Linked DNA regions of Lepisosteus oculatus. The protein of the gene in region 1 purifies or fractionates together with the protein of each later gene. This does not show direct contact. Links are inferred from orthologs where the notes say so. Each region holds a gene or a part of one and is shown on either strand. Other genes may lie near its edges.

The links.
Region 2: the proteins of mtf2 (region 1) and jarid2a purify together in Homo sapiens (affinity purification with mass spectrometry; 3 studies listed by BioGRID and IntAct, with this or other methods). This does not show direct contact. The link is inferred for Lepisosteus oculatus from reciprocal best matches to the Homo sapiens genes MTF2 and JARID2.

Annotation. Positions count from the first base shown.
Region 1 is NC_090704.1:1,844,132-1,860,814, reverse strand, and holds the start of mtf2 (metal-response element-binding transcription factor 2), read right to left. Parts: upstream 10,938-16,683; 5' UTR 10,624-10,937; coding exon 10,619-10,623; intron 9,137-10,618; coding exon 8,938-9,136; intron 8,745-8,937; coding exon 8,663-8,744; exon of another isoform or gene 8,603-8,662; intron 7,988-8,602; exon of another isoform or gene 7,809-7,987; coding exon of another isoform or gene 7,796-7,808; intron 7,070-7,795; coding exon 6,974-7,069; intron 6,883-6,973; coding exon 6,782-6,882; intron 6,254-6,781; coding exon 6,105-6,253; intron 5,586-6,104; coding exon 5,490-5,585; intron 5,400-5,489; coding exon 5,331-5,399; intron 4,785-5,330; exon of another isoform or gene 4,442-4,784; coding exon 4,318-4,441; exon of another isoform or gene 3,914-4,317; coding exon 3,846-3,913; exon of another isoform or gene 3,749-3,845; coding exon 3,578-3,748; exon of another isoform or gene 3,027-3,577; intron 3,019-3,026; coding exon 2,916-3,018; intron 2,793-2,915; coding exon 2,734-2,792; intron 2,634-2,733; coding exon 2,532-2,633; intron 2,136-2,531; coding exon 1,772-2,135; 3' UTR 1-1,771. Other genes in the region: dipk1aa (divergent protein kinase domain 1A), read left to right, coding at 13,265-13,483, 13,607-13,690. UniProt on the Homo sapiens protein: Polycomb group (PcG) protein that specifically binds histone H3 trimethylated at 'Lys-36' (H3K36me3) and recruits the PRC2 complex, thus enhancing PRC2 H3K27me3 methylation activity.
Region 2 is NC_090705.1:16,313,130-16,329,812, reverse strand, and holds the start of jarid2a (protein Jumonji), read right to left. Parts: upstream 11,373-16,683; 5' UTR 10,849-11,372; coding exon 10,804-10,848; intron 1-10,803.

The DNA.
Region 1 (16,683 bases):
GACACCTCAGGGCTTCACCATGAAAATTAATTCTGACAAAAAAAAAACTTACCACTGCATATATAAAAACATTTAAAAAAATTTAATTCCACAGTAACTTTACTGATGACATCCTGAGAGTAAAGGTCAAACTGAAAGAGCACAAACTCGATCTTAACCTGTGAAAGACTGATACTAAGTGCACATTTTTTAACCCCTTTAGCAATGCGTAGCACCGGTAGGTAAGAGCCTGAGAAAACTGCAAAATATTGCGTCTGTTCCTGAAGAAAAGGTATGGCCAAAGATGTTACATTTTGTAAGCAACCAAATGTTAAAGTTCTTTTAATATTTTCAATTGCATAGGAAGCGGATACTAAAGTACAAAATGCACAAGTATTGAGCTCAACAGAAGGTTCAAACTGATTCTGTAAGGCTGGGTCAACTCTAGATTTCATATTCCATACGCTTCGAGTATGGCTCTGACACGGAGCACAATCAACGCAACCCAAAAGGATACCATGATTCTGGGGGTCTGAAATGTCTCGCTACCAGCTCACTGAAGCGGACGTATTAGTGGAACATCTAAACCACACAGTCCGAATATAACATCTGGAATTCTATTAGAAAATACATAAGATATCCCAAACTGCAGATTCTCGAGAAGTATTAGGTGTTCTCTAGAACCAATTTAAACACTCCGTCAAAACAACGGAAACAAAGCGTTAGCTACATCAAAAATGCCTATTTTTCTGATTTTTTTAACAATGAAAAACATGATTTATGAGCTAGCTACTCATACATGACAAATTAATTGAACTTGTGCTACAACTTTAGTACTTACAAAAGAGTTGTCTGCAAATGAAATAGTTACGACATGGATTTATAATACTATTTATGCTCCAGATCATTCCCTACAAATGATTCACAATCTTAATATTTTGCATCTCAACAATGCTGTAACTGCTATTATTCTTGAATTATTTAGAATTGTACAAGTCTGAGAAACGTACTTGTTTCCCCAGTACAGATGAACAAAGTGAAGAAAAAAACTAGTGAATAACACTGCTAATTGCCAGTTTCAGAAGAATGCTATAAACCTTCAGTACAAACCAATAAATGCCTTGTTTTCAGTTGCCACTGGCAGTGAGTTGAAAGCAACATGAGACTTCCCGTTTGTTTCCATGAGCTCACATGCTGTAAATATGAAAGCACATTCAGATGGAAATAAAACATGTATCCAATTAACAGGCTAAAGGAAATCATAGCTCCTGATGTGCACCCAGGGAGAAAATTAAATCAGAGATTGTGCTCAAAAGTGATTGCTCTCAATTAAAGGCATATTAAAACAAGAAAAAAAAATCTACAGACAGGTATAATAAAATTACATGCAGCAGCATATTCAGCTATAGTTTTATTTTAAGACACTCTATAACCAAGACATTTACACTGTGCAGACGGAGACGATGGCATAGCAAGCTGCAGTCAAATTGCACTGTTCGATCTCAGAGGTAAATGAAAACAAAGCTTGAAACCATCTCATCCCAGATCCAGATTAAATAAGAGTAATTGCACCACGACAGCCACTATTCAAAACACCTACAGGAGCACAATAGGTCTCGATTCAACATGGGCCTGGAATTCACATTTACCCACCTGGTCTGTATAGTTTAATCAATATGCTTCAGCATTAAAAAAAAAAAAGGGAGAATAAAGAAGATCACTGGCATAAATAATTATTTCTCGGCTGCATTATGTGCCTCCAAGGACTAAATGCAGGTGGGAGCAAATAAGCTTATGATGCAGTAACGCCCTCCCATTCCACCAGGTACTGGACTTTCCCATCCAGGGTGACCCGCCGGGCCAGAACCCGGTATTTCTCCCCACAGGCCATTCTCCCTGCAGCGCCAAAGTAATTAGTGATCGAATTCTTCAGGTGACTGAGCTGCATGTCCTGGTCCATGTTGTGGACAATGTCTGTGTTGAGCCCCGGGAACGGACACTGGTCCTTGGACTCCTGCTCCCTGGGGATCTCGGGGTTGGGGGGCTGGAGCGCCCTCCGGGGGGGGCGCTGCGCTCGTCTCCGCCCCCGCCTCAGGGGCGGCAGGGCGATCGGCCACAGCCTGCCCGTGCGGGTCCTCCTGCGCGAGCTGCACAAGCTGGCGGGACAGCAAAAACAGCCCTAAACTTGCTGCCCATCCTCCTCCCCCGTGTGTAAAGTATCCCAGCTGCACCACAGGTGAACCGCTGGTGTGCGAAGAGGAGGGAGATTTCGAACATCGCCCCCCGTGTTGCACCCCAGGGTATGCTGCCAGGGTTCAGAAACAGCAATGCCAATGGTGGAACACAAGAGCAAGTGATAAAAGATGTCTTTCCTGCTTCTTTCGAACCCTGGTCTAGGGCTACTGTATCAAGACAATTTACAGTCACACTAAGATTTTAAAAACCTGATTTTTAAGCACATACTCTAGAAACATCCCATAGTGTTTTCCCCAATTTCTCCCTCTAACTCAAGGTTTTACCAAGGACCCTGCGATGCCCAAAAGTCTCCTTACCTTGACTGCCTTGAAGTACTTGAGGTAGTTTCAGTGGTACTTGTTGCACCAATGGATTCCACGTCTGAGGTACTTGAAGACTGTGCCGATTTGTCAGTCCTGCTGCAAATTATCCAGGCAATAAAAAAGAAATGCAAAAACATAAGGACAATTTGCACGTATAAACCAAAAATGCATAGGAATGCCCCGTGACAAAGCCTACCTTTTAGAAGAAAGAAGGTCCAAGGTGTTGTTCTCCGACACTAAAATTTTTTCATTGCCCTGAAGCAAGGAAAAAAAACACAGTTCAAATAAGGACTTATAAACACAATCAAACTAAGCTGCTTTCATTACAAGCAAACTCCTGTGTGACAAACTTGAAAGCAGGAAAAGCACCACACCCACCTGGGCTGGCAGTGCGGATGACCGTCTGAGTTTTGCAGCCGTTTCAAGCGAGTGTCTGACATGCTTTCTTTTTCCCTTTCTAACGACTCCATTCATCATCTCACTGGAAAGACAGAACGAGAGGTCAGCTGACTTGATTGCCTGACCCTCCCAGAGTTCCACTTTCACTGATGCAGTCCTCACAGCAGAGCCACGACCCGGCTGACTTTTCACAGAAAGGAGAAAGCCAGTACTTCACAAATCACTGAAGAACATCTCAGGGACACCACCCTCCACAAAAGTTCCGGAGGAACCTGTCAATTTCACAATGACAAATCAAACTGTTTAACCACTGCGGGTCACAAAACAGAGTCACCTGCTCTTTGAGAACCTTCGCTTAGTGGTATGAATATCAGTAATACTTACATAGCCTCACTTTTCCTCATTTGCTTAGCACGTTTTAATTTTTAGGATCTTAGTTGTGAATCATTCATAAACATTCAAAAGTTGTCAGCACTTGTAGTTATGCTTATGGTTCGGGGGAAAAAGGCACGACAGGATCACGCAATGGTGATTACGCAGGCATGAGACCATTTAAATGAGTTCCTCTACCTTTAAGGCTACCCACTTCGACCTCCGTTTTAAACACGCATGTAACAGATGTATAACAAGGGGTCTCTCACCTGGTGTCGGGGATAGGCTTTGTGGACTTCCTGCCTTTAATTTTGATCTCATGGGAAGCCCGCTCAGGCTCTCGGTCAGCCCTTGAGTCAGTGTTCTGAGGAGCAGGTGGAAAGCGGATTCTCAGCCCAAACAAGTGTTTCTTTTTCTTTATTTCCTTTCCAGACATAAACCTTAAAATATCACAGTCACCAGTATAAGAGCACCATTCAGCCCACAGTTGCAATGACAAAACATATGAACACTTGTATTTACAACAATGCAACTTACATAGTCTTGTTTTTGTTCAGAGCTTCAAGAATACTTTCATATCGTTCAGATTTTGGCGTGTCACCAAGCTGCAAAAATTAAGGAAATTGTTCAGACTGTGTGCAGTTCATGGTTAATTACTTTTAACAAAATCTTTCAAAATGTTACACGTCAGGATATTTATAAATCTGCAAATGTACACTCAGTACTTTTAATTCATACTCACTAATATTAAATTTTAATGACACTAATAGAGGATGTTTGTTTAAAAACGACGCTATGGTCATCTGGTACATTAAAAAAGTAAACAAAACACATACAATACACTAAAAGAGCATTATAAACATATTGCATATATAAACATATACACAACAATAGTGTTATGAAAACATGCAAGAGATCTTAAGACCAAATACACGCCTAAAGCACAATATTCTATATTTTTGTAAATTGTTGGTTAAGTGGAAAAAAAATGCATTAAAAATAATCCTACATCTCCCAGCTGTAGTCTGTCCCAGTTTTCATTAATATACGCCATCAGTTCCAGCTCCGAATCAAAATACTTCTTCTTGTGAATAACACTCAGGTTGTACAGACTCAGGTGTGCTACATCTACCCTGTGGGGAGAGAGCAGGTCAACATGAAAATTAAGAACAGTGCTATACCCTTCAATGGAAAACAAGAGCTGTACCAGGATTGTCTCTATATATAATTGTCTTCTTCAGGTGCGTCTTTTTAGCATGGATTAAACCTATACTTGAATCTTTTTCTTGGCAATTTTTAAACTAGGCAGCCTAGCAATTGTTGGCCTGATCCCCGTATTTGAAAACTTTCAAAATCATCCAGTATACTGTAGGACCAGTTGAAACGAAAGTAGGTTGGCTAAATCAACAACCAAAGAAAGTCTACATTTGAAACGTTGCTGTACTCGTTATAAAGCTCACAATAAGTCAAACCATTTTAAGAAAAGAAGGCCCACACTGCTCCTGATCAAAAACCGTTTGCCCAATTAATTCCGAAATAATTGCAAACCTTAAAAGTATACATTCTACGATCAACATGATGAATGTGCAAGAAATTTTGTTTTTGTCATCAATGTGGCCTGTAACCCTAACTCTCATGAACTCCAAAATGGTGTAATTTTCTCAAGTCTATTAATACCATCTGACACAATGCTGTTTCTGTGTGTACCAAGATGGGTGCATGGCCACCATTTTGATCTTGCACTCAAACTCTCTCTTGCTTTGAGATATCCAACACAGTACGTCTTAAAGAAATATTTTAAATGAGCAACTATGTGAAATGTTCGAGTGCCGTATCGGGAGGCCTTTTAATAAATTATCAGACTTGGGGTTTTTGAGACCAGAATATATACATTTGTATGCGACTGGGATGAGATGACCTACTCTGAAAAACTATGAATAAAGTTTGGATACAACCACGCACACTAGTCCGTTCGATTACTGTAACAGCCATTTCATGTCATAACTGAAAATTGCAACTTACCACCTCAAAGGCAGACGTTTGAGGTACTCTGGTCCGGAATTGCAAACTGAACATATGAACACATAGAACCTAGAATAAAAAAGAATTAAAAATTATTTTAAGTAATGCCAGCAACACTTTGTAAATGTGTTTTTATGAAAGAAACAGATGCCATCTTACCTATCCCCATAAAGCATTGGCTTCTGGAAACACTGAATGCAAGCCTCATGAAACCACTGCTTACATTTACTGCACTGCAGCATCTTCAGATACCAGCTACAGAGAATGGAAATGTTCCAGTTAATTCAGCCTGGCATTAATCTGTTCAGGTTAGATACATAAGGAGATGAAAAGCACATCTTCAGAGTAATCTGCTCTTGGACAACTTTAACCCCTCAAGCAAGGGTTTAAACAAAAAAAAAAGCAACAATTTCCCCATTTCCTCGTGTCTGTCTTAAGCTAGTCGGTATGTGCAATAATAAATCAATACAGACTTGGTAAAGAAAAACACAATAGAGATCATTAAACCAGATGCTTTTCAGAATACTAGAAACCTGTTTTAGTGGGTTTATAAACAGGAAAAGAAGGCCCCATGCAGACAATTCTTCAGAAAGCAGCAGATTTTGATCTTCCTAAAACATCTGAGGTTTAGGTTAAAAATACAACAGGCCAGAAGAGAGCATTTAACTCTCATCCTATGTGATGTTAAGACTTAAAAGGTGTGAACCCACAGCTACACCTGTAGACACGCACTGAACACTGGGCGTAGCAGAGTTAAACATGCTGGGCACTCACTCTCCAGGGCCTCCACAGTAGCAGTAACATTGCTGGATATTTGTTTTATGGCCTTCGTCCCAGACAAGATCCTCTAACGTATATGGTAATGACTGTTTCATGACTTGCAGGGCTTTTGCATTCGGTCCTTTCTTTAGAGCACCTCCTCTCTGTATTAAAAATAAGAAAAAAAAAGTCATCAACACGACGCTAAGCTGGTAATTACAAAAGGAAAAGGACCGTCAAAAACTTTTTCTAAAATCGTACACAGATGTTCCAACGCAGACGTACATTTTCTATGGGACAAATAAAGGTTTATTAGTAAAGAAACACAACATTTCAGCTGTGGAGCTTTCTTCTGGTGTCACCACAGCCAAGACGTTGTTTCTTTTCTTCTCTTATCAGCATGGAATAAATCTTTACTTATTCCTTTGCAGCCTACACATGATGACACCGCTACCTACATTTTCTACATCTATGAGAACTTAGCTAATTCACTAGGACATGTTTAGCACTTGCTTGGGTGATGAACCAAATTTCATTAAACAACTTTCATTTAACTCATCGCCTTGGTCCAGATACGGCCCTTCAATCTATGACTGTACGAAGCCACCAGAAGCACAACCGCAGCTTTTCAGTAACACAGTAAGAGCAAATGCAATAATAACACGGAAGCAAAAATTCTAAAAGTATCGAACCTTTGTCGTAGTTGCAAACACACACTGCCGGCAAAGCCACTTGTCATCTGAAGCAATAACACTGCAGTCGATATTTGGTGCATGGCACAGCTGGTGATAACCTGCAACACACATGAAAAGGGCAACACACATGAAAACACATTCACTTTTCTCTTTTACTCATGGGAGAATATTGCTGCAGTCAAGGGTTACCTTGCCCACACTTATCACAGATGACAATCTCGTTTGGAGCTTCCGAGTTTTCTTCCTGACATATTGTACAGACCATCTCCCCTCCACTGCTGGCTCCTAAAAAACATGCAAGACAAAACATTGGGTATTTTTTTATGATCCTTTATATTTCTTTCACCTAAACGTAGAAAGAAACAAAACCAGTGGACTGACTACAAATAAGGACGCACAACCCAGAGCCGATTCCATGTCCAGCACTTCACTGCTGTGAGCCACAACAAATCCATGAAAAGCCACCAAACACGATGCTCTAACTACCTAAATGCAGGTCTGCTTTTGTCAGGGGAGAATCCCAACACGGCTTTAAGCACAAAACTTTAAGCAACATGAAGCACAGACAAGAAAAGCAAAATGAATGCGTTCAGAAACAAGATGCAGGCCACCAACTTGCTTGCAATTTAAAATGGGTTACGCATCTTAATTAAAAATAAAAATTCTTAATCAGACTAAGCATAAAAAACACAAACCAGCAAAGCAATGCAATCAGAACAAGGGTACAATCACGTAGGACTAGTGTTCTGGTGTACAAGGAGGTCTTGCTTAACTCTAAACCAAAGTGTGCTCATAGCCTACATGTGGGAAAGATCCACAGGCTGATGTGTGCATTTTTCACTGAAAAAAAAATTGCTTCTGAATATGACAGGTCAGCTGAATTTCAGCACCACTTTCACAGCAAGACTGGCTTTCCAATGCACAAAAGACATCTAATGATGTAAACCACAGAAAGGAAACGTAAAAAGATACATATTACATACATGAACACTGACACAGACTTAAAAATACCTTCCCTAATCATGCCACCGATGCCTTTCAGAGCTTACTGTTTGTGTAAGCCCAGAGACCCTGTAGTCTGTCAACTGCTCAGAGACAAAGTAAACATAACTTGACCTGAGCAATACAGGGAGAAAATTAATACAGAGAGAAGAGCGTCAAAAGAAATCTCAGCATAGAAAAGGAAAACGAGCTGAGTAAAATAAGTCTATCTAAAAAACGGAGGTTCTGTAGGTAGATCGTCCTGGGGTATTATCTGTGGAGAAAATAGAGAAGTATAAAGCAAAACTTAAAAGAGGAAAAGATGGTGAGCTTCCTAACACAGAAAAGCAGTGCTGACAACACGAAGAAGCACTCTGTTACTCTGACGTAATAATATTGAACCAATTAATAAACTACAGATGAAAACCAAGTCTACAGTGCAGTCCGCTTATATTTCAGTTCAAAGTTTAATTACGAGAGAAAAGTATGCAAAACCTTATCATATTTACACTCTTCTTTAAACCTCGAATTGAAAAGAATAAATCACGCTTAAAAACAGCCACCCCCCTGGGTTTCGAAGCCAAGGAATTTGGTTTGTGAGCTTTACCAAAATTAAAGTTCCATCTTCTCTTGTGCAGGACATTCCCATAAAGAAGCTTTAAAAACGCTGTCATTTACTGTTCATGGTGTTGAATTTTCCCATGAGTGTTTGCAGATGAAAGTTCACCGACCATGAGAACACTATGAGCTAACTCATTTGTCCCAAATGAGAAAATATGTTCCGTCTTGATCAGGGAACCTGGCTACTAGTTTTACGTTCATGATAACGATAAATACCGTGCTGTCCAATTCAGTGGACTCTTCGGATCTTTTAAGTTGGAAAAGGGGGAAACTTGCCAGTTTGTATGTCCTTCCAGAGAACCCAGGATTTCGAGCGGTCTTCGAAGACGACAAAGCAGCGGTGTTTGTGTTTGTTTATCTGGGGGGGGGAAATATCGACATGAGCATCTCACATAACCCTACAGTACTTTCCAGCATACTTCAAGAACACGAACGCATTTACTCAAAGCAAAAATCCCAAATTAGAAAAATCTGGATATTTTCAAGCACCCTTAAGAAGTGACCACTGATAGGCTTGCAGAGATCAGTTTGTTAAAATATCTATAGATTACCTTGGTGATAGTTCCGAGATAAAACAAGCCATCGGACCACCTGGCTAGGACATCTTGTCCCTCCTCAAATTTGCTTGCAAGCTTTTTTGTTCGCTGCCCATCCTTAAAAGACAGTTTAGCCCCGGTCACAGGCGTCTTATGGTTTCTGTTGGAATGTGCTTTTTTGTGGAGAGACAAATTCTCTACTTCCGTTGCGTCTCTGTCACAGAAGGGGAAGGAAAAATGTGTTGAGATTTAGGTCATTAGTTTTGTGGAGGTGCAAACAAAAAAAGCAAACACTGAGGTGTCAGGAATAAATGTCTCAAAACACTCGCAAGCAAAAATTACTTTTTAGTGTTTGTTTTGACCACCCAAACAAAAAGACCATCCATAAAACAGATAGGTTACTCGCACTCATTTTATAGCATCTTCCCCAGTAAGAACTACATTACTGACCAATAGCAATCCACTATTCACCAATGCTCTTTTATAATTTGTTAAAATGAGTAGATCACTTTAGAATCACAGAAAGCACATCTTGGAACTGTTGAATGTAACAAATGCCATGCCTGACACCAAGATCCCAGCGAGACACGATCTGTCAGAACACAACTCTCACCAGTTCCCTTCCTGCATGTGTGGACAAATTATATTTCACTAAGCAGCAAGAATTTGCATTCACTGGATCAACTGTGAAATTAAAACGTTTTAAATCACAAGCAGTGGCTCCAGGCGATTTAACTATTTTCTTCTACATATCAAAATTACAAATCTATCCTCTTGATCTGGAATTTCTAAACTTCTGAATTTTGCCTTTGCTTTCTCATGAAGCAAGAATAATTTCTATGTTCAAAGGATAGGTGAAATATTTAAAAGACCATCTTACTACTTACACGAGGGAAAAAAATATCCCAAGATGATGTAGGAATACTTCAGAAAGGAGTAAAAATATATATATTTCTATCCCACAGCCCCAATGACCCCATTGATGATCACACGAACTCCCTTTCCAATGAATTAACCATACCAGGCTACGCTATAATTTCTCATGACCATCTGTAATGTGGTCAGTGCTGAGCCTTCCTGTCCGGCGATATGCCACGGAGAACCTAACATTTCATTCGGCTTTATTATGTGGTGGACGTGCAGTACGGTGACCTCGATGCAAGAAAAGCTTAACGGCTGATTATTACACTCTCATTAGCCATCTTACATTCTGCATATATTTATACACGTGTATCGTAATTCTGTAATTTAAATAACTGGTTAAACTATATGCATTTGTGGAGAAATGCATCACGAACATCGTTAACACTTCGCTTTCCACGAGACTTCGTTTCCAACATGCGGCACGTTCAGCAGTCCCGACTTGCCGTTAATCAGATCTGGTCTTTATTGATACGTTTACACACGTACCGCATTTGCGAGGTGCTTTTACTCTTTTGTACGTGGGGGGGACACAACCCTTTTGTTGTGTATGCGAACAATGAAACGTCTATCTCCGGAGTTCTTCCACAACGCTTCGGCTTCACAAATGCAGTTAAATGTCCGCAAAGCGACAGCAGAGCAAAACCGTTGAACTCCGAAAAGCTACGTCAAATGCATCATTTTGTTTTAAATAAAAACAAGCAGCGCACTCCGCTGATAAAACGCAACCCACCCCCCTCCCCGTACTCCCAATAAAACATGAAACATATTTCACCTCATTCGGTCACTTCACCCGGTCAAAACGTTTCATACAGTAAAATATTCGGCCTTTGCGAAACTCCCGGTTCTCTCGTCCAAATAAAAAAAAAACTGCCTTCTACAACCGTGGAACCGCAGTCCCCTCCTTTTTGTTCAATGGTTTCCGGACTCGGGGAGAGAAAAAAAAAATGTTAAAAGATTACAAACGGTTCCCTCTCCCCCAACACGTTCGCCATTTTGGTTTCCCGCTGAGACTGGGGTGCATTCTGGGAAGCGCCCCGTGAGCAACAACATTCTGCGCCGCGTGCGGACGGCCGTGGTCTCGGGCCCGGCGGAGCGAAGGAGGGGGGGAGGGAGAGCGCGAGGGCCCTCTGCCTGCGCACACGCGGATGCGCGCGGCGGAGCTGCTCTGCTGCAGGCGGCCCCCTGGCGCCGCTGGTCTGGTCTGGTCTGGTCTGGGCCGGACCTGGGGCCCGACTCCGGCCTCTGCCGTGGGCGTGGGCGTGGGGGCCAAAGAGGAGGCGACCCGTGCCGCTCAGAGACGGCGTTGATCGCGTTTCTAACGGGCGCCGGTAGAGGGAACGGCGAGTTCTCTGCTACCGGTGCGCCCGACGTCGTGGTTGTAGCCCAGATTAAAAGCAGCCAGACGAACTGAATACCAGCTATACCGCATTAATAACACAGCGCGCCATTTTAAAATGTTTATATGCCTGATTCAGGTAAGGCTTTTAAAATTTAAAATTTAAAAAAAAGGCAACTTTATGACTTGTTGCAGACTAATCTGGGGGCGTAGTTTGCACTACCTTTACCGTTAAAACACTGAAGGCGACCAGTGATGTCGGTTTGGCAGGACTGGCCGCAATTAGCGGCTCGGACAGCCAGGGACTCTCCGGCTCAGCGTGCGGGGAAGGGTTGTATCGCCAGCCGACTGTCCTTAGCTGGTGTGGCAGAACTGCCCCAGTAGAGAGAGAGAGAGAGAGCGCGCCCCCTGCGGTCTTCTGTGCACTTGCAGGGGAGATGCGCCTCTCGTCCAGCAGGGGGCAGTGCTGCTGCCACATTCCAAAAATAGTGTGTGTTTCAGATTGATTGAATAGGAATTAGCCCGTCATTACTGTTTTGAGGAGAGCGATAGTACTATTGGTAATGAAAGCTAAAAGTAGAAATACGAGTTAGTGTTCTAACTGTAAGTTTTTGATTATTGCATGCTTCGGGGTGAGGGTTAATTAATTTAATGGTGCTGCGATACCAACAGTATCTTCTAATTACCACCTGAGGGCGCTGCTGTCAAAGCTTCAACTGCTCTCCTCTTGACTCCACCCCACTTGACTGAACACTGAATCTGGGGAGCTGCGTCAGCAGGCAAGTCAACTTGAACTCTGTGCTGCAAAGCAGGAGGAAAAGAAGTCCGATTTATCAGATGCTGAATTTTCTCCCCCGGAAATGAATCTCCAGCCGAAACGTTGTGTGTCCTCGTTATATTTCTATTCAAGCTGCTCCACCGCTCTGTCTTTCCAACGTGAAAGCACAGCACGTACATTCTGCTCTTTTCTGACGTTTCTTTTTTTTTGCAAAAGGGGGAGATTAAGATTAAGATGAAGCGCTCTGTGGTGCATTCATTTGCTTGGCTCAGCAGGAACAGGTATCCAGGGAAACATGAGATATTTTACACACGAGTTATCGCCAGCTGGGTTTATCACCTGAGAAAGGTGCTCTGACAGGTTTCACGCCCTGGCTGAACCCTCAGCGGTACGCCTGTGGCCAGCTCTCAGCAGCTGAGGTGCTGTGCTATTCCAGGGTGCTCCCGATGGCCCCCGAACTGCATCTCGCCTCCTCTGAGGGCCCAGCCGGTTTTACAGCTCGCAAGGAAAAGGGTCGCCGTGTCCAGTTGAGCGATCAATGGGCTCTATCAGGTGATCAAGTGAAGACGAGCCACAGGAACCTCGGGGCCCTCCAGGAATGAGCTGTGAGGAAGAGCTCCGGCGCGTCAGTGCTCTTACTCGCCAAGATCTCAGGACTTCTCCTCCGGGCCGAGATTTGTTTCAGAATCCCAGACTGGCCCAGCAGCACGTCGCCTAGATAATGAGCCGGGAGTCCTTGGGCATGACGGATATCCAGTTGTACCTGTCCCAAACCACCCAGGACCCCTGCTAACACCCTATTACAAGGAGGAGATATGGCCTACTCTGATCTGGATTGAACACCACAGGGAGGCCTCCTCTGGTCACACGTGTCTCTGTATGTGTGGAAAGGGGCATTTCCAGTGTGATAAAAATATCCTGTCTTCGCAGTTATGAGTGAAGTACGAGGGCTCTGCCCGTCGTTTCACAAAATCTTCATTTAGTTTCCTCTCGGTACACAACTGCGCTGCTGATCCGTATTTTTCTCATTGAAACGCGCGTGTTTTCCCCTCGTCGCTCCCAAACTCGCATGTAAAGCACACAGTTAACTTCTCGCTTGACCAACAACAACAACAACAACAACAAAAAAAAAACGTGTTAGCTACGGGTTGTTTTATTTTGGAAGCGCTGCTGTTCACGCCACGTCAAGCGCCCAGACTCCCCGCCCCCTACACACACACACTTGGAAGAAAAATGTTAAAAAGACACAATTTGTAACAACGCAGTAGCGACCCGCCCGCCCGTGTGAACCGGGCGCGTAACTGATGCGCGCAGCTAAAGCCATTTTGTGTCGGCGAAATCCCTTCCCTGCTCCTGCGCCTTTTATGCAGCACGCACGGAAGGCAGGGGTATCCAGCGGTGGACTCAGCCCACAGCAGCTGCAGCGCTCCAGGAGAGGAGCAGAGGAGAAGGTGCCGTATCTGTCGGCGGCCCGGGGCGCGTTTGCGAGGAGCTGTCCCACGGGAAACGGGAATGACTACTGGGTAACAGGACGGCACATGATACACTGCATTTCCGCAGCTCGCTGGTCACAGTAGCGGGGACGGACGGGCGGGGGGAGGCTCCATCATGCCGTCTTCTGGTCTAACTGGGGGGTCTTTCCGCAGGTTGATGTGGTGAGATGTGCTGTTTCTGCCATGGCGAGGGGGCTGTTTTCATGGGCCTGGCTGAAAAAGCCGTACTACATTCAGGTAGGCCACCCGGGGGGGGGCACTTGGCTAATTAACCTGCACGGTTTGCGGGGCAGGTCGCCGAGGAGAGCGGTGCGAGTCTGTGCGTCCGGTAGGGCTGACCGAGAGACACCGGCTGCCGTACGGCGAAGCCGCTGCGCCGAGCGGTGGCCTTAAACTTTTAAGCTCTTTACGTTCAAGCTAACGGATCCCTTCTGGTTGTCTTCTTGGCCTTTTACAAGTTGTTCGCCCTTTTTCCCTCCCTCCCCCACCAGACGTGGTAACGGTTCGTTTTACGCCGGAGGCTCGGCTTTCATGGGGTGTTACAAAGTGCTACACGCATGCGGAGGGCTCCTGAAAACAGCCGTCGTTTTCTCTTTGTTTTCTCTTCTCCTTTGAAGCCGGCGGGGAGGTCGGGGTAAGGCTGCTCGGGCTGGTTTGCTCAAGCGGGTCCCGGGAGTCTCGGCAGTATTACGGTCCGGCGCAGTCCTGGCAGGAGTGTCGCCGGTTGCTGTGGCAACAGCTCCACGGCCCCCCCAACACCCGCCTGTCATTCGCGAATGACAATAAATAGGAAATAAAGAATAAAGCGTGCGAAGCTGTGTCGGTTTAAAAGGCTAAATAGCATGCGTACAGTACATTTTTTGGTGATGCTACAGTGGTCGTCAGCCGGGGGACGGTCCCCGGAGACCCCACACACACACCTGACAGCCCGTACAGGGGGTCACGCCAGCACCTCCAACGATGAAGCCTTGCGTCTTTCCGTCTTAAAGATTTGGGGCTGCGGATAGTGTTCCGTGTTTTCATTTCGTCCTTAAGATGGGGGGGGGGCGGTCGCAGAGACCGGCCTCCGCACACGAGTGTCGGGAAGACGAGAGAGCTTCGAGGAACCCCTGGTCTGATAGTGTATGAATGGTCAATCTGCAGTTGACATGAGGGGATCGTCTGAAGTGGGGGCACACTGGAGCACGGGTGAGCGCTGCACCCTCCCAGTTCCCGGGGTGCAGTCTGCGTGGAGTTCGCATGTGCTCCCAGGGTCTGGTCTCCTCCCGCACTCCGGGCGTGGTAGCATAAGGGTGGGGTAGTTGGCTGCTGGCCTGTGGGTGTGATCTGCCGTGCTCTCGTTGGGCAGGATAGACGCTGGGTTCCCCACAGCCCTGCGCTGGATGAAGAAGTTAGAACGTACTGGACGCATGAATCGTTCACAACATCTATAGGATCACGGCGGTAGCGTTTGTGCTAAGCCTAACCTAAGATAAGCTCATTGCTCTTGATATTTGCAGATGCATTATTAACCTTTATCAATAAAGAACCTTTATTTTTGATAAACTGGCGATTTAATAGAATATTCATTAAACCTTCTTATATTCAATTTAGCCGGAAGCGTGACCGGATCTTACAGTAGATGGTTGTTAGTGCAGTGTAGCACATGCAATTTGTAAAGTGGCTTGTCAACAGAAACAGGGAAATGCTGTGTCCACTTCTTCGTCAAGGGTGTTGTAATCTAAAACCACATGGAACCAAAGAGCAGGGCTCCTCAGCGTTGTCAGCCTTTATAAACAGGGCAGTGCAAAACAGCCGCCACTTAATTGAGAAATAAAGTCAAAGTTAAAAGTAATTTTCGTATTTTATGAAGTGTACATTTGTGAAAATGAAAGTGTTTTTGCCGTTTAAACAGAACGAATGAATACATTATAAGTATTAAACTGGCAAGATAACTAGCCAGACGTGTATTTGAATACAGTGTCTTTCATGCGAGGAGTGTTCTTAAGTATAGAATGCGTTCCATGCTCAGAAAAATAATATAAGGAGTAATTTGAATATGTCCTTCCTTATTACTCTTGTAACTGAAATCTACTTTTAGTATAATTGTTTTTTTAAATACGCGTCTGTTCCTTATTTGGAGTTAAATGTGGAAATTATGGACTTTCACCACAGCCAAAGTGTTTTTACAGCTTAAACCTCCACCACAGCACCTCTGAGCTACGGCACTTGCGGGAAACGCTTTATTAAACGTTTATTATGCTAGGTTATTCCAGTGAACGAAAATAGCAGGAAGGGCTTTTGGTTTTGAGAGTTCTGTACAATCGAGAGGTGAAACGGTGCAACAGTGAGCAGAAACCTGCAGTAAAAACCAACGAGGAGCAAGAGGAGCAGGCCTGGCCGCAAGACGGATACCGTGTAACATCAGATCACTTCATTGTGCCATATACAGTTTCTTGCATTAGGAATTTGTCTTTTCGCGTACCCCAGCCTGCTCTCCGTGAGACACGCAGACAGGGAGAGAAGCTGGGGGTTAGAGCGTAGGGTCAGCCATTGTACAGGGCCCCTGGAGCAGCTGGGGTGAAGGGCCTTGCTCAGGGGCCCAGCGGAGTAGGATTCCTCTTTCGGCCGCAGGATTTGAACCGGCAGCCTTCCAGCCACAGGCGCAGACCCCTAGCCACAGTGGTACGGGCAGCTTAGTCAGTGCACTGTGTTGTGCCAGCCTTCAGTGTTGTGAAATGTTTTCAGGCATGAGTATTCTCTATATACCGCCCTAATGAGCCTGGTGCAATAATCACAGTCCGGTCCGGGCTGGATTTTCCATCCCATCCACGGTTGGAATGCTGTTTATTCCTGGTGAAATTTGCGCCAACCCCGAGCTTACCCTGGCCTCGCACGGCACGGCACAAGGCAGATGCCAGCGCGTTGCAGTGCGCACTCATGCAGCCCAGTGAGAAAGGCCAGTTACCCTCGACAGTGCGCCTCCGGGCAGTGGGAGGAAACTGGAGCACCCAGAGAAACGCCATACGCAAGCAAGGGGCAAGCATGTGCACTCCACACAGAAGGCACTGCAGTCTGGGCACAAGCCTGGGTTTTTTTTTCCTATTTTTACCTAATTTTTCTAAAATATTTTAGATTTTTCTTTTGCCCCCTCGCCAGCCCCCCCCCCCCCCAGTTCACACGTCTTCATTTCAGTTTTCTTTTTTTCCCGAAAGCCCTCAGATTTCTTCGTTCCAGAATTAAGCCTCTCT
Region 2 (16,683 bases), on another chromosome or scaffold:
TATTTAATGGGGCCAGATCAGAGTTTGGTTTCACCCCAAAATTTCCAGTAGTTTTTAAGTAAGCATCCAGACTTTTCAGAATAGTCCAATTTTTAAATAATGCAACTTCCCACAGTTTGGGGGCCCTTAAGTGCTCTCTTTGAGCATGGTTGAAAAGACGCTCCATTCTGCAGCTATAGCAGTTGCCATGGAAACAGGGCGGCTAGGCCTCACTGATGACATCGTGCTGGAAAATAGCAGCTACTCTTGTCTCCATAGCAACTACTCTTGCTTTAAGTGACGTTACATTTTACATATGCTCATCAAGTGGCAGCTAATTCGGCGCTGAAAAGTTACACTTAGAGTGCCCTCCCTGCACCCCTTTCCTACATCATCCTTTAGTGTTTTGACCTGCAAGCCAAATCCTGTTACTGTCCAAACACAGGAATTGTTACACCTTATCAGAGCAGACAATTAGTGAACCAGTTTAGTATTTATGGCAATATTAGCTGCGAAAGAATATGTTTAAACTCGCTCCACAAAACCAAGCTCGATTTCAGCCTAAACAAGAGTAAGCCCGATACAAAATCAAGCGTGGGGATTTCTAACAAGGATTAAATTAATTTTGTACATTTGCATGTGACCTCCACTCTAAAGGTCACAGGTCAGGTCCACATCTATCTGATCTCATCACGTTCCACCCCACTGAACAATGTGCCCTAGCTGCAATTCCCTATTATAAGCAATATTAGCCTGTCCTACTGGGCCAACACCAGCTCTGAAAACTACAAACCCCTTGGCTTTCTTACAGAAAGCACAAACCAGAAAAAAAGAAGACCAAGGAGGATTCACAGGCAAAACCTCATGCGATACTGAAACACATGATTTTCTCCCATGTATTGCCATTGTGTCTGCTAACCTACATCACTCCAAGATAAGTGACAAACGTTCACTCTGCTGGCAGTATTTTTGTAACCTCTATACAGTTATCCAATGAGAAATACTCCGCAGTTCACTGATGAAATGCTGTAAATGTCTGCCTATTAGTGCCGCTTTGGGCCAGCTTCTCCGATTTCATGGGTCGGTCTTTGTTCTAAAGAACTCCCAAGTATTCTTCAAGGTAGTGCAGCGTTTCAAAATGTCTAAGGTTGACAAATTTAACTCCTTTTCTCCTCTTTCAGAATAGCATACTTCACTCCTACAAGGAACACTTATTAGTTACAGTTTGGCTGAGGCATGATTGGGAAGACCAACACTGACTTTGGCCAAACAGCCAAACACATAATGAGAAGGCTACCATCACTAAAACAAACAAAGCTTCACCAAAACCCCCCACCACCACCACCACCACCTTCCCCAAAAAATTCACTCCTGGTTGACATCAATCTACTTTTGCATATGAAAAGATTTTCATTTCAGCGTAGATCGAGGGCTTCTGATCACAATCACCACAACATCCATCATCTATTCATATTGATAAGGGTCTGCCATGAAGCTGTTAGTGTCCATTGATCACATACAAAACATACCACCTCTTTGTGCACAACAGGGGCCGTGATAGAGTAGGAAATCAATACTTTTCTCAGTGGTTTCAAGGACTCCATTACAGTCAAGCTGCCAGGTTTTCACGAGAAAGCCCTGCATCACACCAGGAACAGTCCCTTTCATTTTCCGGACGTCACAACGCAGCATCGGAGAGCTAGCGTACCAAACAAAGCTGCTTTAATTGAAATTGGTCCCTTACAACTTTGTTTCATGGAAATAAAGCAACCCACAGACAGCCAGAAAGATCAGATAAATTCAAATGGTTACAGTCATGCAGGTCATGCACACCAAATGCACATATTTAACAGAGTAACATAAAAGTATTGAAATAACTTAGAAAAACAATCCTATGATGCAACAGAACTCTATCGGCAACAGCGCACAGAACATCTGAAAATAATTTATGGGTGAAATATGAAAGATACCCTTTCCCAAACTAAACAGCACAGGGGAGCACAAGCATTGATGCTTGCCCTCGTTTGGGTTGGTCTTTCTGAAAAACTGCTGAAATGGTCCCTGAAACAGGCGTGTCATAGAATACATTCACCTGGTATAGCAGTATTTACGAAAAACACTTCCACTCCATCAGGAGACACCTGAAAGTGAAAATACTGATTCAAACCACCATTACGTTTGAAATGCAGTCATTTTCTCTCATAAAAAAAAATGACTTCAGATTGAAATACTAAATAAAAGTCTTTAAGGAAGCACAGTAACAACTTCCTGCTGTGTGACATCAGCTGTCTTTCCACAGGCCACTAAAGAACGTTTTAAGCACAGAGTCCAAGCACAAATGTGCTGCTTGAGACAAAATAAGAGACCAGGTTGCTGTTAGTGGTGCTGGTCGACCAGTAGGTGGCGCTCTTCCCTAGGAACCATAATTTCCAAACCAATGCCTCAGTGACATGAGAGGGGACTCACTGCTGTACAAGCTCCTGACAACATGGCTGTTAAAAGATCTGTTTGGAAGAGCATGAACGAATGTGGCCTCCATCAAGCTCCTCTTTAGGTTGAATCAATTTCTCACTCCTCAGGCACAGAACGGCTGCTGTGTGCCACCCACGTGGGGATGCACGTCAGAGGTGGGTACAGGATTTGTTCTCCTAAATGAAAAGCACTCTGGGATCTCCTGAAAGGAGTGTGGTGGGGGTAGCTAACATGTATGGAAATTCCATCACTTATGAGAGAATTTCAGCTACCTGACGTGATTTTGGTCACTGGGAGAAAGTTCAATGCTAGCCACTGCTTTTAGATGTCCCGTTTGCATCTGGTAGGTGAAGATCAATGCGTGCACTTTGGAAAGAGGAACATCCACTGATGAAAAAAAGTCAGCTGGGCCAAAACAAGGCTATTCACATGCTCATCTTCTTTAAGAGGTCAGCCCCTCTCTGCCCCTCGATGGAGGCAGCACAAAAAGGCTCCATAGTAGATTCAAAATATTCACTTTCTAATACAACTGTCTCTGAAACTCCAAATTCAGTGCTCAATTCTTTCATACACCATCAATCTGCCACTAGCAGTCTTACAGAAAACCAAAATCAATTTTTAAACGATTTGGAACATACCGACAGAAGAATTTCCTACCAGTGGCTTAACCCAGCTGCAACTGTAAGAGGATTTCACTGTGCCTCCCTGTAGTTTAACTGGGAATGAGGACGTTGTGCCTCTTTATTTGAAATCAACACTGAAAACAATGTCATCACACAGGCTATAAAAGAAGTGCAGTAACTCATTGCAGTTACATCTAGATTTCTTCATTTGTGGTAGACAATGCAAAGACAACAGAAAAGGATAAAAGCTACACAACACTTGAATTTTTATTTCTGCCATGGCTTGAGAATCCAGGTCAGTCAGTGTTGCGCTGGGGCAGAATTGCCCTTGGTTGTGCTTCTCAACAGCTCCTACTGCGTCAACAGAAATAACCCAGATTTCCCCATGTGACAAAAGCAGAACAATTTTGATTTGCCGCCTAATGTACAAAAACAGTTCAGACTGTGGAAAACGTTCTTTTGAAAGGGAGCGATTCCTAATCATGGCACACAATCATTCTGTTTCTATGCACCCCCACATCAGAAAGTAATTAAGAAAGAGAGCCAGGTTTAAGCTGCAAACTGGAGACAGCTGTGGTATTGACACATGCTTTCCTTCAGACTCTGCTATGTAAACTTTTATCATCTTGCTGCGGAAGAGCTACACAGGAACAGCAAATAGTTAAGGCAGATCTGACTGCTGGTGATTAGCTTTAATTGCACTCAGCGAGCCCCAGTAACGATGCACAGAACTAAGTGAACTGCTGGCAAACACAAGGAGAGGCTGTTTCTGACTAAATGAAACAAAACCACTGCTTTTCTGCACAGTCCAAGAAAACTCCACGCTCTCAGGTAAGGAGTTTAGATTTTATTGATCTCACCCCAATGTCCATCACCGCCAGCTCAAAAACTCAACCAGGCTCTGCGCGGAGCACATAAGGAATACAGAAGACCCCATCGCTGGCCGAGAGCTTTGGGCCAACTTGGTTTCAATCTAATGCCTCTCAACCTTTTTTTTTTCAGGCTTCACTGCATTGCTGTCAAGCACAGGGAGGTTCGGACGTACTGTGTGCAACACTCCTGGAAAGTTGAAATAATTTCGCAAAAGTCTGGTCTGCCCTCTAGTAAACATGCAGTATTTAAAATACTTCATCCATTTAAGTAGCCTCTCCTTATTACATGAAACAACAGTAGAAAACTGCCCCCAGTGAACAGCTCTCACTAAATTTATTTTCCTTCAGGAAGGATAACAAAAGGGTCAGTGAAGCTTAAAGCCTGAAAAACAAAGACCGCAAGGGTTTTATGTAAAAAAAAACATTAAGGTATAAAAATTAGCAGCCCCTTCATAAGATAAATGGGTGAAACAGCTTCCAACTCCATACCCATTTAAGACTATGGAGAAATGGTTATATTTTCAAGCCTGAATAAATAAACATACAAAACAAATACATATGTCTGGCTGATTAGAAGAAATTTTTTCTACAGAAGCTAAGACATGTGCCAAATGTATACATCTGCAGCGATTTGTCCAGTAAGTGACGTGAAGTATTTAACTTTCCCCCCCAAGAACCACTTGCAAATTGGATGAAGACACACTAACTTCAAGTTTTGGCCATGCCTTAAACTTAAAAGCGTTCCTTTAAAATTACTTATGTAGGCCCACTCATAGAGAGCGCACCTTCCTGCCATGTTTGATTAATGTCCACAGAAAATCTGTAGTTTAGTCACTATAAAGGTAAAATTCCTTTTTCTCCCTTCAAGAAAAGGTAAAAAAATACAAGCCTCGGCATACCTAAGCCCCATCTGCCCCTCCCCCCTGTTGGAGACCATTAAACTCTCCAACTTAAACTGCAGCCTCCCGAGAATTAAGCACAGAATTCTAGCATGTCAAACACGTAAATTTTAAAGACCGTTTTCCACTAAAACATAAGGTTGAATGAAGCCGAGGCGAGTCTGGATACAAAACATGGCAACCTCGGGGGTCAACCGCAGACTCGCATTTCAATTTTGAAGCTGCAGGACTCGGTCATCCTTCACAGGCCTCGGCCACACTCGGTTTTGTTTCCTCTTTGTGCTCCACACAGTGCAATGGATTCTTCAACTTGGCCTCATCAGTTGTGCGCCTGATGAAACAAACACTGACAGCTTCTTTACATTTGTAAAGGCCCCAGAGCAGCTGTGCTTATCCCAGCGTACAGCAATGAATTAGAGCTGAGCCCCAGCTGGGCCTAAATAGGAGCCTGTTCTGCACAAAATGGCAATATTATCCATGTTAACTCTGGTCTTATTGTCACATTCTGTTAAACTAAATGACAATTTATAAAAATTGCTGCAACACAACCACCCCCCCCCTTCCCCCTCCCTCCCCTTCTTAATTCAGAAAAACACTGAAACCAAGGATCTGCTGTTGAAAAGCTGACAAGTTTGGTGTATTGGAAGAAACCATTAATCATAAACCACTTCAAGCAAGTTCAGGCTTCTTTACCACATACTGGAGTGATATAGCTTTGTCTAGGTTATATTTAAGTCTATCCATCAGGGAGCAGTAATTATATTTCTGTGTTTGCTTTCGGGTTCCTCAGTGATGAATTTTAACAGCAGCATCCCTGGTTCGTGCCGGGGGTGGCGGGGGGGTGGGGGAGGGTAACTTGTTCGAGGGGAAATACTTAAGCCAAGCATGTATAATTGTCTTACGCTAATTAAGGAAAGGTTAAATTAGTAGGGCAGGAGCCCCTGGTCTAAGCTCTGACTCTTGGGATGTCTTCGGTTTTTTTTTTTTGCTTTTGCTTGGTAAGATTCAACGAGATTTCCCTTGACAGCAGCCAAAGCATCTTGCAGAGAAGTGGGTAATATTCTCACCCCGCCAAACACACAATACAGTTTTAAACAAGAACTCCCGTGTGAGAAACCACAAGAAGGATAAACACGCGCATGGCTGTGAAGTAAAACAGAATAGGTGCACACGATGACTAAACACAGGCAAGCACCGAGAACAGGGCTGGGAGGCACATGGTTGTTCATCTCTTCTCAGGACATGGACATCCCAATTTTGCAAAGAAAGCTCCAACCAAAAGGGGAGTTAGTTCAACCTGAAGTCCTATTTCTATAAATAAGGCACTTTCGGCCAATTGCGAAGTGACATTCTGGTGCCCCAGCATGCAATGCGCCAGGTTTGACATGTCACCCGCAGATGGACACCCTTTGTGCCTGAGGTGGGGTTTCCTTCACTGAGGGGGGACTGGGGTCAAGGTCAACAAGAGGCACAAATCATGCAGGCTGCAGCCAGAGTGAGGCAGGGGGGAAAGGGGAAACGTGCCCCCCAGTTAAAGCTCATTGTGCACAGTGGCTTTCCCAGGTGCAAACCGTGCTCCTAACCCACACAGCAGGCCACGGCAAACGCGTACCTGCTGTTTACAAGCTCCGCCCCTTACCAAATTCCAAGACAGATTTTTTTTTTTTAAGAAACAAGATTTTTTTAGGTTTTTTTCCTTCTGTACAAGCATGTTTCTAACTATCACGAGACACACAGCCGCCGTGCTGAGTTACAGAACACCAGCTCTCCGGGACTGCATTACTGCTGCCAAAAGTCCCCAAATGTTCTGGTGTGAATTTTAAAGGGAGGCAGTCAAAAGAATACAGAAGCACATTTTAACCTCTTTAAAACCAAATCCTTACTGATGGTCAGTCGGTCAGCACTGAAATACAAGAACTGTAGATGTGTCGGTTTTAAAAGGCTTATTAGAAAGTTTGTGATGCACTGTTACACAACTCATCCCTACTGCAACCACTCTTCTTGCAGACCTTGGTGACTAAACATTATACAAGATGACTGGTCTTATGATTAAAACAAGTCAGATGATGTGCACACAACGGCTCCTAGATACAGTGGCATGGGTTTGCCCTGCCTGGGATACACAAATTGGATAAGGGATTCATCTTGGATCCTTAACGTGATCTTCACACATGCATTGCAACAGAAGGCGCCCACCGATTTAATAAGAAAACACTTCAAACCCCTTTGCACGCCATTTTCTAAAGAATAAACACATTCAGCAACTTCCTCACCAAAGAACTACAAAAAAAAAACTTCACAGGGATGCTGAACAGAACAACAGCGGGGAAGGAAAAACCCTTCAGGAGATGTATCTGGTACACCTGATGTCTGCCGTCATGTCACCCAGGTCCGGACTCATATCGACACAGGTCGATCCCGTCACTAACCCAGGTGTCCGAAACGCCCTCTGTTGGGTTTTTGAAGTGGAGAACAAAAGTGGCTCACATTTATAAGGCATCACACTGTATTTTTGCAGGCTGACTCCATCACAAGGAACTGGAGAAATTATTTTAGAGTAAATCCTGTGGGAAAGCAATGGGTTAACTAGCTTGCTAAAACAGGTGTACATTCAGACCCTTCATATCTCACTTGCTGCACCAACCCCAGACATCACCACGCAAAAAATACAATATTTAAACAATAGTAAGTTCTGATAGGTTTAACAGGCTACTGGTACTCGGTTCTCTGCTTGACTGATACCATTTCCGTGTACAAAAGAGGAAGGTCACAAAATTGCAATCTCAACTTGACAGGGCTGGGAATTAAGCACGTATTATATCATATTGATAAGTTACCATATTCAGTTATCAAAAGTCAGGATCAAATCTTACTGCTGTGGAATTTCCATTTATTTAATTGCTGTAAAGGAACATCTAAAAAACACTCCATGTCTCTAACCCAGATCTCAACATCTAGAGCTATTATCTAAATCACCGCACCAATCAAGCTTACCAATTAAAAGCACCACAAGTATTTCATCCATATCGGAGAAAGTTCGAGTCGTTCAAAACATCAGTTAGCCCCTTTATATCTCCAGGCTTTAAGTGGCTTCTGATTGTTCAAAACATTTTGGCATAAAACCAAAGAACGATCAGACTGTGTAACAGCCTGAAGAGCACACCGCCAGTGTCTTGTAAATACAGTGCAAGAATCGATCCAAGGGACAGGGACGAGGCACAGGACTCGTACGCGTACGTGCACCGTGTGCGCAAGCGTGTAACTGGCGATCTGATAATCACCTCACCAGCCTCCAACTCGAGCAGTGAGTTTTCCACTCCAGCAACACTACCTACAACCACAAGGAGGATTTCTGAAAAACTGATTTTAACTTAGGTAGTGCTCTTTTATTCGTAGTGCAAAATACCTCTTTGGTCAGAGTGCCGTTCTGGTTTATTTTTCACAAACCTATTATGCAAACTCATACTGTCTAACCAAGGTGCGTGAGCACGTCTTTCCAAGACTTTAGACCCAAACACATCCCCCATCCCCCCTCCGAAGGGACAGCACAGAGGGGACAGACAAATTCGCTTCTACATTGTAGTTAAAACGTGAGCTGTTCCTCAGTCATCACAACTCCAATCCTATTTTAGCCTGTATCATAACAGATGCAATCTGAAAAACTTCGGGACGATGTATACCTTCCAATAAAATACAGACCTCATTACGCTTCACAAAGAAAACGATGAACGATTGTCACTCGTCTTTTGTGCTTAAAGAAATCACCTGTTACAGCTTTACAACTCAGACGTCGAGTAAGTTCACATTTTAGCAAAACTCATGTTCCTACAATACTTAAAAATATGGAAAATGAGATTTTATTGCTTGATGCTGTATGTGATTATCGTTGCAATAAAAAAATGCCCGCACGAGCCAAACCATGACTTCATTCATAAGTATTAAAAGCCTCAGACAAATGATTTCCTCATGCTTGTAGCCCGTAGAGGTTTATTAAATTTGTGTTTATTTTGGGGAGAAGTTTTTAAATGGACAGCACACGACTACAAATGCCATACTACAAGGAAATTTGCTTGAAACGCTGAGCCACAAACAACTCTCTCCCGATTGCCAATAAACCATGATCATACCTCCTCAATATTACTAGTGAGGAATATGTAGTTCTCCATATGCCAACATTTGCAACAAAAAAAGCCACGCAAACGCCAACGCGACACCGGAAAATGTGATCTGTCCCCAGACCCAGCGAAATTGATAGGATTGACCTGTTGCTTTAAACGTAGTCTGTACAGACGTCTGAAAAGCAGAAAAAAAACCGAGAGGCCATGCTGTCTGCCCTGAAGAGTTAGCGTCGTGGCTCAAGAAAAAAAAATAAAGAAACGCTCTCGGGCCACAGCTAAGTAATGAACGGAACGTGTGACTTCAGTGAACTCCAAAAACCTTGGCTACTTTCCTGCAGTACCTCATGATGGTTACATTTATACTACTGACAAAAGAAGTGGCCCTATAAGAAAACATAAATAGGGGGGAATAAAAGTGAAGTATTTTCAGAATATAGTACCCCCAAACCCACACAGAATCCTGACTTAAGTCCAGAAAGTTAGGGGTTAAAATGCTAAATAAGGTTACAGAAATGTGCCTAGCAACTCGACACGAGAAACCCCTTTGTTATTAATTTTTTAGCATTAACTCGCCCCCAACCTTCTACTTCGTCCGAAAAAAATATAACTACAGGACGTCGTGCCAAGGATTTGCTTCCGACACTCCTAGTGATTGAGCCCAAGGTTTATATTATCCGTAGTTTTTATTCTTCCTTGCAAAGATAAAATGGTTGCTGTTCTCTCGCACAACATGAACCTCTGCAATGCGACTGGAATTACTGCCTTCTTAAAACGATCCCCAGTATGTCACCTTTGCGCCTTAATCAAAGCTACTGTTACATCGCGGCGTGTTTTTAACGCGGATCTCTTAAAACGATTAAACCCAAATCCCCTCCGTGCTTCACGAAATTTACCAAGAAACCCTGAAATAATCGTGGCAGCCAGCCCCGGCTGCGGCGACTGCTCACAACCACTCAGAGGTCACACGGAGAAAACGTGCAAAACGAAACAAAAACAACTCGCACAGTGCATTTCCACAACCATAAAACCGGTTTGCAAATCGCCGGGAACAGAAACATGGGGATTCACGGCTGCGAAGTTTGCAGTGTTGCCACACGGCAGCCAGGGAATTTAAAGGCAAAACGCAAAACGGGCCTTTTTTTCCCCCAGTCTCGGCGATGAAATTAAAGATCAAACAGCCCCTGCCCGTGTGTGCGTGCTCCAGTCTACTGGCCTTGACTTCTGCAAACGTGGTCCTCGCTAATCGCAACTAAAAAAATCACCTACAACTCTCCGGTAATGCTCCCACCCTTGAGCACATCTGTGAAACCACAGTAAATCGATGACAACATGATAGTTTATTAACAAATTGATAATGGCATCGGGCAATGCTAAACCCGGAAAGAGCCAGAGGCAACCTACAGCTATGGCTGTCTGTGCACGGCTCAAAATTACGAGAATATGAGGAACAAACAAAGCCATTCCAGATGGCAATTGCTGGGAAAATAAATGTTATTGTAGGTAACGCCGCGCCTGATTATTAAAATCATCTAAACAAATACAACGCTGTAATGTGATCCCCCTACGAGGCTGCCTTATTTGCACGGTAGACCCAGCCACCGGAGAACCCGAAATGAACTCCCCCTTTGCAAATAAAAACATTTTACCTAGAAACCAGGGCTGGGAACGTTTCTACATAACTAAAAACGTGCAAAACGCCAGCGGACTCAATCCAATCGGCCCGAGATCAAAGTTCTCAATGCATTTTAATCACAACAAGCGGAGAGGACATGGAAACTTGTTAAGGTCAATTTAAAACCCCACACTGCCTCGCACAGCAGCAGAAAAAAAATGAACTTACATATTTCTTTTGAATAATATTCCTCTTGGGTCGTTCCTTGCTCATTCTGCGATCCAAGTCGTGTTTGCTAAACAGAGAATTGCCACATGAATTTTTCCCTTTCCTCGTTTATGCTTTTTCTTGAAGAACACGCCAAAGACTATTTAAATCCCCGGTACGCAGATCTGGGGAGTACGTATTTATTCCTTGTCGTTGCCTTCACGGAGCAGGGACTCGCCTCGATTTGATAGTAAATCCCAAGTTAGAAATCCACGACGCAGGAAAAACAATCACAGAAAAAGGGGGCTCCGATATAACGTACTCATAATAATTCACGATATCTTCCATTCGTAAGCAAAAAAAATAGGACGTCATCCGCTCTCCCCGAGTGTCGCGAAATTAAGAAGCGTATTCTAGTGGGCGTTTGCGTACTGCTGGAAGCTACATCTTGTTCGGGGAGGGGATTTAAAGATAAGAAAATAAATAAAAGGTTCGCAGTCACGTTTCGGCTGGAGCTCGCAGACGAGATGACTGAACTCTCCAGCAGCACTGCTAATCTGCACTGAGCAATGCTCTTTCTTCCTCGGCCTCAGCCTATCGCAGCCCAGCGCAGCGCAGCGGTAACTTTAAAAGGCTTCGCTCATTAGGGACCGGGTACAAATCATGAACCGACTTCGTTCTTCGAAGCACAATTTTCCCTGCCACCGGCTCTGGGCTCTGTGTATGTACAGAGGGGAGGAATCTGCATATTTAAAAGCACACATGTATACATATACAAACACACTGCCGTTGCTGTACCTTACAAGCATGATATAATGGTTATTGGTGGCCAAGATGCATTTTTACGGCTTGGTGTATGAAGTTAAAGCCAGACGTAGACCTCTCAGTAATGAAAGTAGCGCCCCCTGTGTTCTGTTTACTTAATAAACTCGAGAGGAATGTTATTAACCTGATTTAGTTACACACCTCACTGTATTCTCTTTTCGTTTTAGGGAACTCTTGTAAACCGTGAACAGCGGCGTTGTAAGTTAGGCTTTATTTTCGTTAGTACGGCTGTCTGACCTATCTTTTTTTTAAAGTGTGGATTCATGAACCTTTAGACTTGCTTAAAAAGATTGTATCAATGGTGCATAACTCCAGCCCACCTCAGAACCCAGATGGGAAGTCTGCAGGTAATCCAACAAAGATAAGGTTAAAAATAAAAAAAAATACAATTAAATGATCGCGTTTCCCCTTAAATCGTTTACGAGCAGAATACTGTATGATCGATCCAAGACTTTCAAACTCGTTATCTCAATTTAATCATTTAATTCCAAGTCCGACATGAATCACAAGGACCAGGAGGAACGTCGGCAGCCGTTCGTGGGTTAAAAGAGTAGAGTGCTTGACATACTGTACGCCCTCCCTCATGAAGATTCTAATCACAAGTATACCCAGCACATGATACAATTAAACCATGCAATGCACAGCAGCAGACAGTAATGTAATTTTTCTCTGTCTGTCACTGGAGAGAACGAGTTCCACAGACCTAGACAATTATTCAAGAAAGGGCGTTGAGTATTACAGCAAAACTCAATTACAGAGTAAGACCAGTTACAAACGCGAGGAGACATTATCTAGTTTGTTTGGTTGCTAGTAGCTGTAACTGATCCAAGGATCTCATTCCCATCAGAGAATCCGGGGCACTGGCTTCGACAATGTGAATGGGTTGTTCCACACCCCCACTGCCCTTTGTGGAAAGAAGTACCTACTGTTCTCAGTTTTAAATGTACCTCCCTGTGTCCACAGGTTCATGTTTCACCGTTCATTCTGAAGAAGTTCACTAAGTTGAGCCCTTGAGGATACTGATTACTTGAATAAGGTCCCCTCATAGTCTCCTCTGTTCAGGACAAAAGGGGTCTGTTCCTTAAGTTTGTCAGTGTAGAACTGTCCTTCAAGACAGTTGTATCTGGTTGCTGTTCTCTGGACTGATTGCAGAGCAGCGAGATCTTTTTTAAAGTTAGTGACCTAAATTTTTAAATGAGGTCTTACTAGATTGCTCAATTTTAGAACAACATCTACTGATTTAAATTCTACAATGTAACTTCTAACATTCTGTTTAACTTCGTTATTGCTTCCATACTAAAATGAAGGGAAGACATTTGTTCATTCTAGATCAAAATCGAGGCTACTAATAAAAAATCAAGAAGAACAGTGGTCCTAGTACAGATTCCTGTGGAACACCACTAATAACTTTACCCCAGTTTGATCTGTCTATGTCCGAGGTAACAATTACAAAGGTGTGTCACGTTGACAAGGCAATAATTTAAAAAATATATATATAATATCAAAATCATAATAATAACAATATACAAAATGTTGTTGGGACCAGAGTTCATGCCTTTACTGTGGGAGTTCTGGAGATCAACGTATTCACATTCATTTTGGGGTCTACAACCCCAAACCAGTCCTTTTTCTAGTAAGTCGTAAGCATCACCCACAAATTACTCCTTTTTTTAACAATTAGGTGCAAGAGTAAGATATTGATCAATTAAGCAAGCAAGCCACTCAATTAAGGGAAGAGTTACAACAGAGAACTGAAGGGTATTCAGAATCGTGTTGTCAGTGATTTGTAAATAAGTAAATTTGACAAAGCACTTGCTTAAATGATCATAATTCAGTTCTTCCAAATGATACAAAACCTGTGTTTTAGTGGTTACCCACTCTTCCTTCTGGATCTTAAGGGTCTTTCCAAGGCCAGGGCTAGGAGGAGACCCCTGGTATTGAAGATGAGCAATGATGGTCTGTGCTTGGTGTACATGACCCGTGTGCTCAGTCCGAATACATCTAGCCTGACTGCACCAGCAGGATGTTGCTGTTGATCCAATCAATCAGTGTAATCAAGACCGATTTGCGACTGTCTCTTTACACATACGTGTTATCATTGTAGTTTTGGATAACACCCCTTAGCTTAAAGTGCCTACCAGAGTGATTCCAGCTTTCTTTTTTGATGTAACTCTGCTTAGCGGAGTGGGTGCAGCCTGGCCACGGGGACAAGTCAGTCAGAACTCCTCATGCAGAGCTGCAGACATGGAGCAGAACTGAGCATCAGCATCAGGAAGCTGCATGAGTTTGGAGCTGCCTTCTCTCCAAAATATTAGGTCCTAAAATCCATATTTTGAAGTAGGATATGATCTGAAGTTGGATATTTGCTTCTGCACATCTACAGCTATGACAACACTTTATGCTTTTTTGATTTGGGGGCAAACTGGTGTTACACTCAGTACTAGAAACTCAAGTGAAAACCTACAATTCTTTAAAGAATATGTATCCTTTATTTGGTGAAACTGTTGGCTACAATACCTTGCAGGTTGGCAACCCTGCCAAAACAGTGCATATCATTATCAGTAATGGGGATGGAGTGGTAGTAAAGAGACCTTTAAAACTATAGAAATGATGCCTTTAAAATGAGTTGATAAAATTAAAAACTGCTACTTCTCTTGCAATCCTATTATTATTACACCTGTGCTTAATCACTGGCATTAGCGCCCAGTTCCGGGGTGTCAGTGTAACTTGGAATGGGGAGCTTAGATGGACCAGACACCAGAAGACACAGGCCCCTCCAGGAACTGAGTTTGAGACCCCTTATCTAATATATTACAGGTGGTGCCCCCTAGGATGCAGATGATAGTGTATGTTGATGGGTTAATAATAATTCTTTACACTTATATAGTGCTTTTCTGGACAGCTATCAGTGGGGAGGAGAAAAGAGTTATGACGCCAGTTCATAGATGGGGATTATTAGGAGGCCATTATTGGTAAAGGCCAGGCGGAAATTTGGCCAGGACACTGGGGTAATACCCTTACTCTTTTCAAAAGACATCCTGGGATGTTTAATGACCACAGAGAGTCAGGACCTCTCTTTTAAGTCTCATATGAAGGATGGTGCCTTTTCTACAGTATAGTGTCCCCATTACTATACTGAAACATGATGACCTACACAGGCTGCAGGGTGAGCACCCCCTACTGGCCCCACTAACACAATTTCCAGCAGCAACCTTTTTGCCAGGAGGTCTCCCATCCAGGTACTGACCAGGTTCTCCCCTGCTTAGGGCCTCACTCTGTTGCCACTTGTGAGTTGTGAGTTTCAGGGTGATACAGCTGTTGAGGTGTTCCTCAATGAATGGTAAAGCTTCTACTTTGTGTCTTGTACTTGTTTTGTGTGCTTTGCTGAAAGGCGTAAAGGGTGTACCATTCCGCTATACAGGCCTATTTAAATTGTTTTCTTGTCAGACATATCACACCAATGGGTATCACACAGGAGAAGAGCTTCGATAAAAGAAAACTATTGGATCTCTTAATTCAGTTCTCTTAATTGAAACAGAGAGAATCAGGTACTGCAAAGCTGATTAACAACACTGGACAGCCCGACACATTTGATTCTAATTGCACTTCAGTGTCCAGTTCTTTTCCTTTTGCCCACCATCCTCCTCTCAAGTTCACGGCATAGGTCACAGTGTGGGTTTTCTCTACATCAGCTTTGTTTTTCATTTCATGCCGTAATGTTTTTAGGAATTGCTTTTTTCAGTTTGGCAAACATTCAGTTTGCATTATTCTCAGTGCCTGACAGCGCAACATGCCTGTGAATTTAAAGAAAAGGCCGATGCCAAGACACCACTTGTACACAAAGGTGGACTGAATTTTCTGTTTTTATTCATGATCATTAACAAGGGGGGGTGCTGGGAAGCTAGTAGCAATGAGATGTTTCTTCAGTAAGAAATCTAAACTAATCTTAATTCACTTGGAGAAAGCAAAATAGCCTAACAGTAGAGCTGTACACTTCACTTTCTGTAGGAGAACGATTGACAACCTGTAAATGGGTATAACACACTAAATAACATTACAATGTAACAAAACAATTATCTGGACATACATTTTTTATTTAATTATGAATGCTTTAAGACTAAATGCTTTTTTATCTACTTATAATGGAAGGTGAAAAACTTGGAACACAAATGATTAGCAAGTTTGAAGCCGTGACTGTCACACATACTTCATCTTTTAAATACTTCAGCAATGAAAGAAAATTGATGTTATTGTCTTTAGTACTGATAGCAACATATATATTAACACAAATAGTAGTTTAATAGTTCAGTATGAGCAGGAAATGTCTCTGTATGTTGTTCTAATAACAAAAAAAGCAAACTCTAATTTAAGCTTATGTTGCATTTTAATTTATTGCTTTTTTTATTTTAACAAATAAAACATTTACAAACATAGCTTTCAAACTTAAATGAGAGTGTGTTCCAGAAGTTTCCCTCATTCCTGAGTATGACATGGAAAAATATGAAAACAATTCCCCTCCTCCAACACAGGGTCTCAGGAACCATTACTAAAATTAAATAATTACAGTACTATATTTCAGCATTCACAATGTTCATTTTTATTCATGCCTTGAAATACCTAGACAATACATTTTGTAAATTTATTCCTTTTATGTGGTTTGCAGTCTGTTGGTAGTTTCACAAAGACTAAGGAGATTTGTGGAAATTTAAATTTCATGGAAGCTTCCTGAATTCGCCATGATTGGCACTAGGTATTAAGGGAGGCTGAACACAGAAGTGAAAGTCTCATTAGCAGACCCAAAAGGAAGCTGTTGTAAGTTAAGTTTTACCAAAATGTGCTGTTGGCTCCAAGGGCAAAACCTAGGGAACAGTCTTTATCAGGCTACCACGCCTCCAAGACTCCTTATGACCGGGGGTTCTGCAACAGAATTCTATCAATATGTAGAAGCAACTAACTCACTCCCAAGACAAACGATACCAAATTATGCGGTTGGATAAATCGCAAACTACATATCTGGACAGTTGTACCAGAGTTCTAATTAGGAGGGAAAAGTGAAGCTCATGTTGAAAAAGAATG